2 linked regions of the Schizosaccharomyces pombe genome follow. The gene in region 1 interacts genetically with each later gene. Each region holds a gene or a part of one and is shown in the gene's direction. Other genes may lie near its edges.

Evidence for each region.
Region 2: mutations in abz2 (region 1) and alm1 are lethal when combined (synthetic lethality), as found in Schizosaccharomyces pombe (one study listed by BioGRID).

Annotation. Positions count from the first base shown.
Region 1 is NC_003423.3:2,346,410-2,350,010, forward strand, and holds abz2 (4-amino-4-deoxychorismate lyase), read left to right. Parts: upstream 1-1,649; 5' UTR 1,650-1,762; exon of another isoform or gene 1,763-1,870; 5' UTR 1,871-1,874; coding exon 1,875-2,048; exon of another isoform or gene 2,049-2,095; coding exon 2,096-2,402; exon of another isoform or gene 2,403-2,446; intron 2,447-2,488; coding exon 2,489-2,703; 3' UTR 2,704-2,797; downstream 2,798-3,601. Other genes in the region: msh2 (DNA mismatch repair protein), read right to left, coding at 1-882, 977-1,059, 1,103-1,133; rps3002 (40S ribosomal protein eS30), read right to left, coding at 2,669-2,686, 2,810-2,938, 2,988-3,026; SPOM_SPBC19G7.04 (protein-DNA covalent cross-linking repair protein), read left to right, coding at 3,202-3,245, 3,288-3,601.
Region 2 is NC_003424.3:3,190,790-3,198,562, reverse strand, and holds alm1 (nucleoporin Alm1), read left to right. Parts: upstream 1-1,795; 5' UTR 1,796-1,847; coding exon 1,848-7,031; 3' UTR 7,032-7,116; downstream 7,117-7,773. Other genes in the region: ntr1 (RNA-binding splicing factor), read left to right, coding at 7,772-7,773. UniProt on the Schizosaccharomyces pombe protein: Maintains the proteasome and its anchor cut8 at the nucleus envelope and is required for kinetochore component proteostasis. Proper kinetochore stoichiometry ensures the correct attachment of kinetochores to spindle microtubules during cytokinesis.

The DNA of each region.
Region 1 (3,601 bases):
ACCATTGGGAGGAGGAAGTAGGTTAAGAGAACGAACTGCTGCAATATCTAATCGCATGTATTGTTCCAAGTTGTGATGATACAGATGGAGCTTTCGAGATGTGTTTTCACGGTCGTCTTCCATGTCAGGGTTTAGTAACGCAGGTCCTAAATAGCGAAGCAATGCATTGCAGGATGCCATTGCTAATTGTAGACCTAGTTCTGGAACAAGAGCATGTGTAACTGGACTGTCGAGCACTTTTGAGAGCTCAAGTTCAACATCTCGAGCCGAAAATTCAGAGCTTCTTATAGTTGTAACTAATGCGCCACAACCTTCAATAATATTTCGAAGACGATTGATTTCTGCCGTGTTAATAGAAACGGCTGAATTGCCATTCGTCGATTCATGCCCAGATTGCGATATTATGCACTCTTTCGCTCCAACTTGCACTATGAGAGCTTCAAAGTTCGTATAAGCATCTGAGTCAACAAATTCTGAAACACCTAATTTTTTTAAAATTGGATCTATAAAAGCAACGCCAATTATTCGCTGATCTTGTTTAACCCTAGTAGTAACAGCCAACAAAACCGAACTAACTGAGCTATCACTAATGGCTGTGGATTCTTGATAATTCTCACTAACAAGCAAATCTTCCAGCATTTGCATATTTCCAGGACTAGCTTGCTTCAACAATTCAAATCCTGTCTTTGCGGAATTGGCTCCCCAAATTTCAACTCTCTTTGCAAGGTTGCTTAAAACATCTTCCGCAAACTTAATAAATAGTGAAGGAGATAAGTTACAATAAGATGTATTAGACACATTGTGGTGTTTTAGCACCGAAGTAGTGTGATACGCGTTTTGAGCAACAAACGAAGCGTCTTCTCCTATTGCAACGTAAAATTCCTAGAAAACAGTGTTAGATTGGATTAAAAAATAATAATATTTCAAGTTATTTTTTACGAAGTTTAAGTAAATTTTTCTATTCATCAATACTTACCCCTCGATCAAATACACGCACTGTGTTTGTATCTTTAGGCATTTTTTCATAAAAATTAAACATCCTTGCCTCATCAGTTCTTTCTGTTTTAAAATATTAGTTCAAAGAAGTAACCCCTTGACAAACCATTAGCAATTGAAGCGTTTCTAGAAGACATATTGATTGAATGTTCTAAAGCGCGAACGCGAAATGTATAAAACAGGAGAAGAAACTCCTTGCCACAGTTAAGTCCTCAAAAAGGATAAATAAAAAACCTCAAAAAAAGGAATAGATTTAAAGAATGTTAAATAACGAAGGACCGACGTCGAAAGTAACACAGTGGGAGATTGGTAGCTGCCAAAGTTATATGACACAGAACTAGTCAAACATACTAAAAAATTCATCTAAGCTAATAAATTGAATCTTAAAAATTAATCTATTTAATTAAATGCCTTGTTGTTTAAGTATTTCAACTTTGCATTCGAACTATTAAACACCAATAAATTATATTATAGTGTTTACAAAATTTATCATATGCAAATATTTAAAATGGCTGTTTTGTTAATTTAGTAATAGTAGTAATGGCATGGATTCGACTTCATTTTAAAAAAATAAATAAATAAATAAAAACCAACGAGGTGTCCAATTTTCTAAGTGTGCTACTCATAAGTTCTCTCTTCTGTTGATATTTTTTCGAAGTTTCTCCACTACTATACAACTTACACACAATATACTGTGCCTGAGCAATCGATTTTTGCTACCACTAACTACATCAGTTGATAAGTAGTATAGTCAAGGATTTAGTTTGTAAGTTTTTGAATTTTTGTCACTAAATTCTATTGTCAATAAATATGAAATTCTAAGTCTTTCTACTCTTTGGGTTTTTTTACTTTAGAATAATTCTGACCAGCACAGTGGAATGGAAGAATCAAATTTATTTGAAACCACTCTCTATGATGGAGAACTGTTTTTGCTGCCAAGCCACTTGCAGCGAATGAAAGCTTCGGCAAAGTCTCTTGGATACTCTTGGCCTGGAGAGCAATACATCGAAAATAAATTACGAGAAGCGGTTCAGGATACTTCCATGGCAAGGGTAAGTATGCTTGCTATAAACTTTATACATTGATCTAAACATAATAGGTAAGGTGGGAACTTTCTAAAGCTGGAGACGTTACTGTTCAAATTGTTCCTATTCAAACTTTAGAAAAAGCACCGTACACATTAATTCTGGATAAGCAACCAAGTTCTACCGAGAAAAACCCGTCCTGCATTAATAAGATGACCAACCGAGCAATTTACATTGAAGCAATGAACCGCAATGATGCCCAATACTCAAAAGCACAAGACGTTCTGTTATACAACCATCAAGGGTTTGTAACAGAAGCAACAATATTTAATGTTGCTTTTCACCGGAATGGCCAATGGATAACGCCCAGCCTCAAGCATGGTAAGTACCGAGATAACTAATGTCTTTTTTACACATTTTTTAAAAGCTTGAATAAGCCAGATATTTAATTAACCTCCTTTATACAGGTCTTCTATCGGGTACTATGAGAAAAAATTTACTAGAAAATGGAAGTATACATGAAGACGATAAAGGACTATTACAAAAAGATAATTTAAAAAATGGTGAGCAAGTTCTTTTATTTAACTCATTTCGTAAGGTATGTAAAGGAGTTTTAATAATACAGCCAGAAAAAGCGTGCGAACTGCTTAAGAAGAAGGATTCATCTGAAAAATTAAGTTAGCAATTAATCAACAATAATATAAATAACACGAATGTTTCAATCAACGTATCAAGTACTCGCTAATCTGAATTGAATTTCAACAACTGTATTAAATTTTAATACTTACTCTTCTCTTGCCACCGACCATGTTGGTAACGTTGACAAAACGACGAACATAGAGAAGACGCTTGTAAGCACGGCCCTTGGGCTGCTTGGGCTTCTCTTGCTTTTCAACCTTGGGGGTTTGAGATTTAACCTGACAAAATGTTAATGCCTGTAAACTTCTACCTATATTAAATACACACCTTTCCTGCACGAGCGAGAGATCCGTGAACTTTACCCATGTTGTTGGTAGTTGCTGCGTTACCATTCTTAGGGTATTGCGAAATATTCGAAATGTCAGCAAAAAAGCAGTCACGAATATGCTACCTGAAAGAGTAACAATGATTATTGACATTTGGTTGCTATTTGTTTACACCTTTTGTTTACTCAGGTTGAACAATGCAAGTTTCAAACAGCATGTCACTAAACGACGAGGAAGACGATATTGAGTTTATTAACTAGTAAGAAAATAATATATAAGAACAAATTATAACAATATTTAGTATTCCCTTGCTAGCAAGCCCGATCAATTCATCTACTTGTTCAACAAGTATTCATGATAAATGTCCTTTCAAACAACACATTTCAGAAAACGGTCAAAATTTTGGTAGTGCTATATCTTCAAATATTTCCCAACGGAACTTCAAAACCCTTAGAGCGTCGCATTTGTCTCAATATCGTGATTGTAACCGTGAAAACAATACAGAGGATAAAAATGTTATCTCGACGGGGATTGCGGTCAATGAAAAATATCAATCTGTATTAAAATTAAAAGAAAAAGCGCCCCAAATTTCTTCAGCTGCTAAACGAAAGTCGT
Region 2 (7,773 bases), on another chromosome or scaffold:
GGTAGCAGTGGATCCAAAAGCTGGCTTGGGAGCATTATTAGCATTTTGCCCAAAAGAAAAACCTCCGCTGGCAGGAGTAGTGGTCGTGGAACCAAAACCGAATCCAGAAGGCTTAGTGGCTGCATTATTATTGGCACCAAAGGAAAAATTACTACTATTGTTACCACCAAAAGTAGATGTTGGAGCGGTGTTATTATTTGCCGTATTATTATTAGCGCCAAAACCAAACAAACCTGTACCCATGGTACCTGAATTGGGTTGGTTATTCGTGTTGCTTCCAAACCCCCCAGTAGAAGAACCAAATCCCGTACCCGTACCAGTGGCAGCACCACCAAATAAGCCACCCGTAGTTTGACCTGTTCCTGTATTGGTTGCGTTATTTGAACCAAAAAGACCCGTTCCTGTACCAGTATTGGTAGTGTTAGTGGTTGAGCCAAAACCTGAAAAAGCTGGTTTTTGTTGATTAAATGTAGAGCCACCAAAAAGACCGGTTGAAGGAGTTGAGGTGGTATTATTGTTTTGACCAAATAACCCACCGGATGCATTATTTGTTCCAGAACCAAACCCTGTATTGGTAGTGTTACTACCAAATGCAGATCCACCGCCAAAGAGACCGGAACCAGGAGTGGTATTAGTAGCATTCGATGTACCAAACGGTGTTGCATTATTTGTGGTACCTGACAAATTCTGACCAAACGGAGTAGTTGAAGCTCCAAATGCGGGTGTTGAACCAAATGCAGAAGTAGTGTTCGTACTAGAAGCATTGCCAAAACGTCGTCCTTGATTATAGTCTTGTAAACGCAACTCTTCAAATGAATAAGATCTATAAGCGGGCATACAAGTTATAGACTGGAAGACACTAGTACCGTTTGTTTGAGGGTCTTTTTCAGAAGTTACCGCATAAGGTGGGTTAGCTGTACCATTCACAGCGTTTGCATTGCTTGAGACAAATCCAGAGGTTCCGAAAGCGTTGGTCGTAGCGGGTGTAGTGGACGAACCAAACAAGCCACCACCAGTACCTTGCGAACCAAACCTGTATTTCCAGCAGTATTGCCAGCGTTATTTTGAGAACCAAACAAGCCACCACCGGTACCAGTATTCGATGCAGTGTTACCGAACCCTGTTGAACCAGCGTTCGATCCAAAAGAAAATGACGTTCCAGTATTTGCATTGTTGTTGGCGGTATTTGATCCAAAGAGGCCACCACCACTAGGATTTGTGGCGTTGTTCGTGCCTCCAAAAGCAGGAGTATTGGATTGGCCAAACATACCTGTCCCAGAGGACATTCCAAAACCTGTGCCACCAGTCGTGGTAGTGTTGTTTCTATTTCCAAATAGTCCACCGTTCGTATTTGATCCAAACAAGGGTTGAGTAGTGTTCTGCCCAAAGCCAGTTGTAGAAGTGTTTTGGGAACCAAACAAAGTGTTCCCTGGAGTATTGGAGTTGGAACCAAATAACCCACCAGTTTGTTGATTATTTTGACCGAAAGCACCGGTTCCTCCTCCAAATCCGGAAGAATTGTTTTGTCCAAACATCACTAGGATGATATTTGATTAAATAATTAGTAAAGTCACCAAAATTGGTGTTGTGTGGACGACAGGTCCGAATAGTGCACTGCTACTCAAGATACGTTCAAGGCGTGATAGAGAAGAATACAGAAATTTAGCTTTTTTTTTAATACTCACGGTAATTACAATTTTTAAATTTGCTTCATTTGTTTTTCTCAACGTAATTGTCGCATTTCTTCTAACGTGGTATTATTTCTGTACATCGAGGTTGATCACTTACTTCTCGTATACGTACACTGGTGCTTCATAAGTCATCGAACGTTGATTCCAGGCTAGAAAATGTCTTCGGGGGGACTTGAAGATGATATTCAGCTGGTACACGAGTTTTTGGATGTATCTTTTGAGGATATAAAACCCCTGGTGTCTGTCAATGGTTTCGCTGTATTTATATCTGCTATTAAAACCAAGGTTAAAGACATAAACGCTTTAAAGGATCAGCTTGTCCTTCAAGAAGTCAACCATGAGCATAAGGAGAATGTTCTTACGAAGAAGATTAACTTTCTTGAGCAACAACTTCAATCTTCTAATAATCAAGCAGAGGAATCACGTAATCTTATATCGGTATTGAGAAATGAGAACGAATCGCTGAAAACCAACTTGGAGAATCAAAATAAGCGCTTTGATGCATTGACTACTGAGAACCAGTCGCTTAGAAGGGCTAACTCTGAATTACAAGAGCAATCTAAGATTGCTTCTGAGCAGCTTTCAATCGCGAAAGATCAAATCGAAGCCCTACAAAATGAAAATTCACATTTAGGAGAGCAAGTCCAGAGTGCGCATCAAGCATTGTCTGATATTGAAGAAAGAAAGAAACAGCACATGTTTGCTAGCAGTAGCAGTCGTGTCAAGGAAGAGATACTCGTTCAGGAGAAAAGCGCTTTAGTCTCTGATTTGGCTAGTTTGCAATCAGATCATTCGAAAGTTTGCGAAAAATTAGAAGTTTCATCTCGTCAAGTTCAAGATTTGGAGAAAAAGCTTGCTGGGCTTGCCCAACAGAATACAGAGCTTAACGAAAAAATACAGCTTTTTGAGCAAAAGCGGAGCAATTATTCCTCCGATGGGAACATATCAAAAATCCTTGAAACCGACCCCACTTCAATCAAAGAACTTGAAGAAGAAGTGGAAACTCAGAAACGACTTACAGCTCTTTGGGAGTCTAAATCTTCAGAGTTGCAATCAGAGGTTGCTGCACTTCAAGAAAAGCTCACTTCGCAACAAAGTCTATACAATAATGTGACCGAAGAGTTAAATAATAACAAGCAACAGCTATTGATTTCGGAGAATAGTTTGCGGGAACTGCAAGAGAAATATGATAGTGTAGTTAGTGAACTACAAGTGGTTAAAGAAAATAAAAATACCTCTGTTTCAGCTGGTGTAGGTTTGTTTTCTCCTTTGGCGCAAAAGTTAAGCGCCGTTCAAAATCCCGAATTTTCATTTACGAAAGTATATTCGGACAATATGAAACTCCAACAGAAGGTTTCTAGCTTAAAGCTTCAGCTAGACCGCTTGACTAACAAATTCTCCTCATTTTGTGAACAAGTTAAACAAAGGATTCCAGTTGTCAAACAACAGAGGAGTGAAATCGTTAGGAATAACATTTATATGAATTTTCTTAGCGAATCTTTGGAAACATCTAACAACAACCTAACCAAAGTACAAGCAGAGCTTTTATCGACCAAAATGCGCCAAGAAGCTTGTTACTTGCAGCTCACCGCATCTCGTACTCAATGCAGTGATCTTTCTCGAGAAGTTATTTGTCTCATGGCCGAACTTGATCATTTGAATGAAACTAAATCAAGAAACGTTCCCGCTACTGTGCAAGTTGCGCTTGATGAATACGCTCAAAATCCCTCTACTGCATCTGAGACACTAGTAAACAAGGAGCTTGCTAATTTTTCATCTATAAAGGAAGCTGTTTCGAAAACTCTAGAACTGCGGGAAAAAGTGCGGGCCCTTGAATGCGATGTTGAAATCCAAAAGCAAACTGTCCAATATCAAATTTCCAATGCAGTTAAAGAAAATTCAAATACACTTTCAGAGCAAATCAAAAATTTGGAAAGTGAGTTAAATTCGTCAAAAATAAAAAATGAGTCCTTACTTAATGAACGAAATTTACTGAAAGAAATGTTAGCTACTTCTCGAAGCAGTATTTTGTCTCACAATTCTTCCGCGGGCAATATTGATGACAAAATGAAATCCATTGATGAATCTACAAGAGAACTTGAGAAAAATTACGAAGTTTATCGTAACGAAATGACAGCTATTCAGGAATCCTTGTCTAAGCGAAATCAGGATTTGTTGAGTGAGATGGAAGCAATACGTAAAGAGTTAGAAAATTCCAAATATCAGCAGCAGTTATCTACTGATAGATTAACTAATGCTAATAATGACGTTGAAGCCTTTAAAAAGGAAGCCAAGGAGCTTCGTAGTATTAATCAAAATTTACAGGATATAATTAGTCGACAGGATCAGAGAGCCAGTAAATTTGCCGAAGAATTATTACATGTTAACTCACTTGCTGAAAGATTAAAAGGTGAACTAAATGCTTCGAAGGGTGAAAAAGATTTACGGAAAAGGACGCAAGAGCGTTTAATATCTGAAAACGATAAACTTTTGGCTGAGCGCGAGAGACTAATGAGTCTTGTATCAGATCTTCAAACTTTTCTTAACCAGCAACAGCTATCTGATGCTGCTAGAAAAGTAAAATTTGAATCTGAGAAGGAAAGCTTAAGCCTTTCCTTGCAGAAGTTGAAGGAGTCAAATGAAAAGATGAGTAATGATCTTCATTCTCTACAGAAATCTTTGGAAAAGAGCGGAATTGAGTACTCCAGCAGGATTAAGACATTAATGCTCGAAAAACAATCGTTAAGTGAAGACAACAGGAAATTGTTAGATAATCAACAAATGATGGAAATAAAACTCCAAGAATTAAACGGCGTCATTGAACTTGAAAAACAAAGATTTTCTACTTTGGAAGCCAAGTTTACACAGCAAAAAAATACGTCCTATAGCGAAAGGGAAGCTTTGCTAGAATCATCGCTTAGTGACTTGCAATCTAAACATACTTCCTTAGAATCCCAATACAATTATTCTTTAAGGAATATTGAACAGTTACAGGCCGCAAGCAAACTCGCCGAAGAAATGGTTGAAAGAGTTAAAACTGAGTATGATGAGTATCGATTGCAAACTTCAGAGTCCTTGGAAAAAAATCATTTAAAAATCACTTCTCTTGAACAAAGGATAGTTATTCTACAAGATGAGATAGCTTCTTCTTCTTTACGCTGTGAGAATATTACTAAAGATAGCGAAACAAGAGTTGCCTTGCTTTTAGAGGAAAATAAGCATCTTAACAATGAGCTTTCGTCACACCGAAATGCTGAAAAGCAACATTTAGAGAAGGAGAATGATTATAAACAACAGTTGTTGTTGGTAACTGAAGATTTAAGAAAAACTCGTGAAGATTATGAAAAGGAACTTTTAAGACATGCCGATGCTAGATCGACTCTTCAAAAACTGCGCGAGGATTACACGAAGGCATTAGAACAGGTTGAAGATTTGAATAAAGAAATAGCCTTAAAGGCCGGTATAAACGAATCTCAGCCCTTTCCCATTAGTGAAAAAGAAGATCCTTTGAGACAGGAAGTTTATGTCCTCAAAAAGCAAAACGCAATGCTTTTAACCCAACTTCAATCTTCCAATCTCAACTTTGCAGAAATAACTAGCCCATCCCCGGATTTAGATTCTGTTATGAAATTAGGATTATCAGATTTACAGAATCATGTGAAGCGTATATCCAAAGAAATGGAGATTATTTCATGCCAACGACAATTATTATTCCTTGAAAATAAGAAACTCAAGCGAACCGTTGAATCATCGAATCGAGTTATCGCCGATCTGCAAAGAGGTATAACGGAAAAGGATGTTAGCAGTACTTCTGAATCCGTTGGGGAACGTTCAAATTATCTAAACATGGTTGCTTTATTAAATGAGAGCAACAAATCTCTCCGAGAAAATTTAGAAAGGAACGAGGAAGTTATCACAGAGTTAAGAGAGAAAATAGAAACTCTTAAAACTGATTTGGCGAATTTTAGACTTAATAAAGAACAACTAGAATCACAGCTTCAAACAGAGAAAGCAGCTGTAAAAAAGCTTGAAAACAGCAACGAAGAATACAAGCGTCATAACCAAGAAATATTACTATCTTTGAACAGTAGCACATCTACGTCTAGTGATGCTTCACGCTTAAAGAATGAACTTGTTTCCAAAGAAAACTTAATAGAGGAGTTAAATCAAGAAATTGGTCATTTGAAATCTGAATTGGAAACTGTTAAATCAAAAAGCGAAGATTTGGAAAATGAGAGAGCGCAAAACCAATCCAAGATTGAACAATTAGAGTTGAAGAATACAAAACTAGCAGCTGCTTGGCGAACTAAATATGAGCAGGTAGTTAACAAGAGCTTAGAAAAGCACAATCAAATACGTCAACAACTTTCGCAAAAGACTTCTGAATTAGAAGCCAAGGTTGCGGAATGTCATCAGCTCAATGAACAACTCAACAAACCTTCTGCAACCCCCACTGCTACTACACAGTCTGAACCAAGTACGGTGTCACTGGAAGAATTCAATAGCACTAAGGAAGAACTATCTTCTACACAGCGAAAGCTAAGTGAAATTATGGATATCTTAAATACTACGAAGGAGGAGCTTGAGAAGGTCAGACAAAATAGTAATAAATCTGAGGGAACCAGTAAGGATACTGAAATACCCAACGAAGAAGAAATGGAAAGGAAGAAAGTCATGCAACAGGAAGTTTTGAGGTTACGTTCGAGAATTGCAAAAGAGCTACAGAAAAACGAATTACTCAGGAAACAAAATCAGGTTTTACAAGATCAAGTGAAAGCTTTGCAAGAGACAGTTGTGTCATCCGAGGAAGCAGAGTCCGCTTCGGTACATGCTGATACTAAAGATTTGGAAAACTTAAAAAAGACAGAAGAGATGTTATCAGTTACATTTCAAGTAATCTTCAACGAGTCCATATCTGACTTTTCGACTTCCACTGCCGACTTTACTACTTTTGTGCAAAAGGAATGGGAAAAGCGCAGAGAAATTTTACAGAAGGATGTTGAGGAACAAGTTGCTCAGTCGCATCAAAAACAACTAGATAACATCCGAAAAGAACTCGAGATGCGTAACAAGTTGAAGTTGAGCATGCTGGAAAAGAACTTAGCTAGAGTGCGAGCAGAGTTGGAGCAATCGAAGAAAAAAGATAGCCCTGCAATTTTAAGTTTGGAAGCTTCTAAAAACACTGATTCCAATAAAAGCAATTCTGAAGTCCCAGCAGCTCAAGTTAAAGAGAAAAAGTTAATCGCCAAAACTCACTCTGTTGACACTAATTCTCCTCCTAAACGGTCCAGTTCAGACGCTGGTATGGATGTTTCCAATGATGTTAAGAAAGCCAAATAGTAAAATATGAATTTTTTGGTATAATGCCCTTTTTAATGTTTCTTAAGAGTTTGTAAACAGATAATAAAATAGGTTAGCTGCATAATTATTATTTCTGGTTTCCAATAAAAAAAACGACTTTAATTTTATTATAATAAAAAGCTTTGTATTGTAATTTAATATTTTGATATTTTTTGAAGAGCTATAGATATTTTGCGCAACTAATGTCCTTATTCAGATATGTAAGCTACGCAGTTTGGTATCTGATTTAAGGATACGTAGAACTGCGGTGAGTTTTCCTTGTGGTCTATTATATTACAATACACAGGTTGTATAAGTAGCAACTGAGTATAGGTATTGTATTAACTGGGTTATAATGTTACCTATCACTAATATAGCTCATAACTGAACTGAGGAACGAGGTTCAGTTGTAACGGTATTTATAATATTTCTAAATAGTTGTTATCAACGGGTAACTATGTATATAGACGGATAGTTACCCGTGATTATCAATAAACGGATCTTAGCTAGTATTCCAACATATGACATATAGTGATACGCAACGTAGTGTATCATAGCGTAGTGTAGTATTGCTGACAAGATAAAATAAATAATGACGTTTTCGCGTGTTCTTAAGCTTAAGAACGTAACGCGCAAAAACTCATTATATGACATCCATATTTAACCCACTGGAGAACTGACCCAAAATAGAAAATTTCGGTTTTCATTGGTTTTTATTTATATTGAATTCTTGGGTTGATAT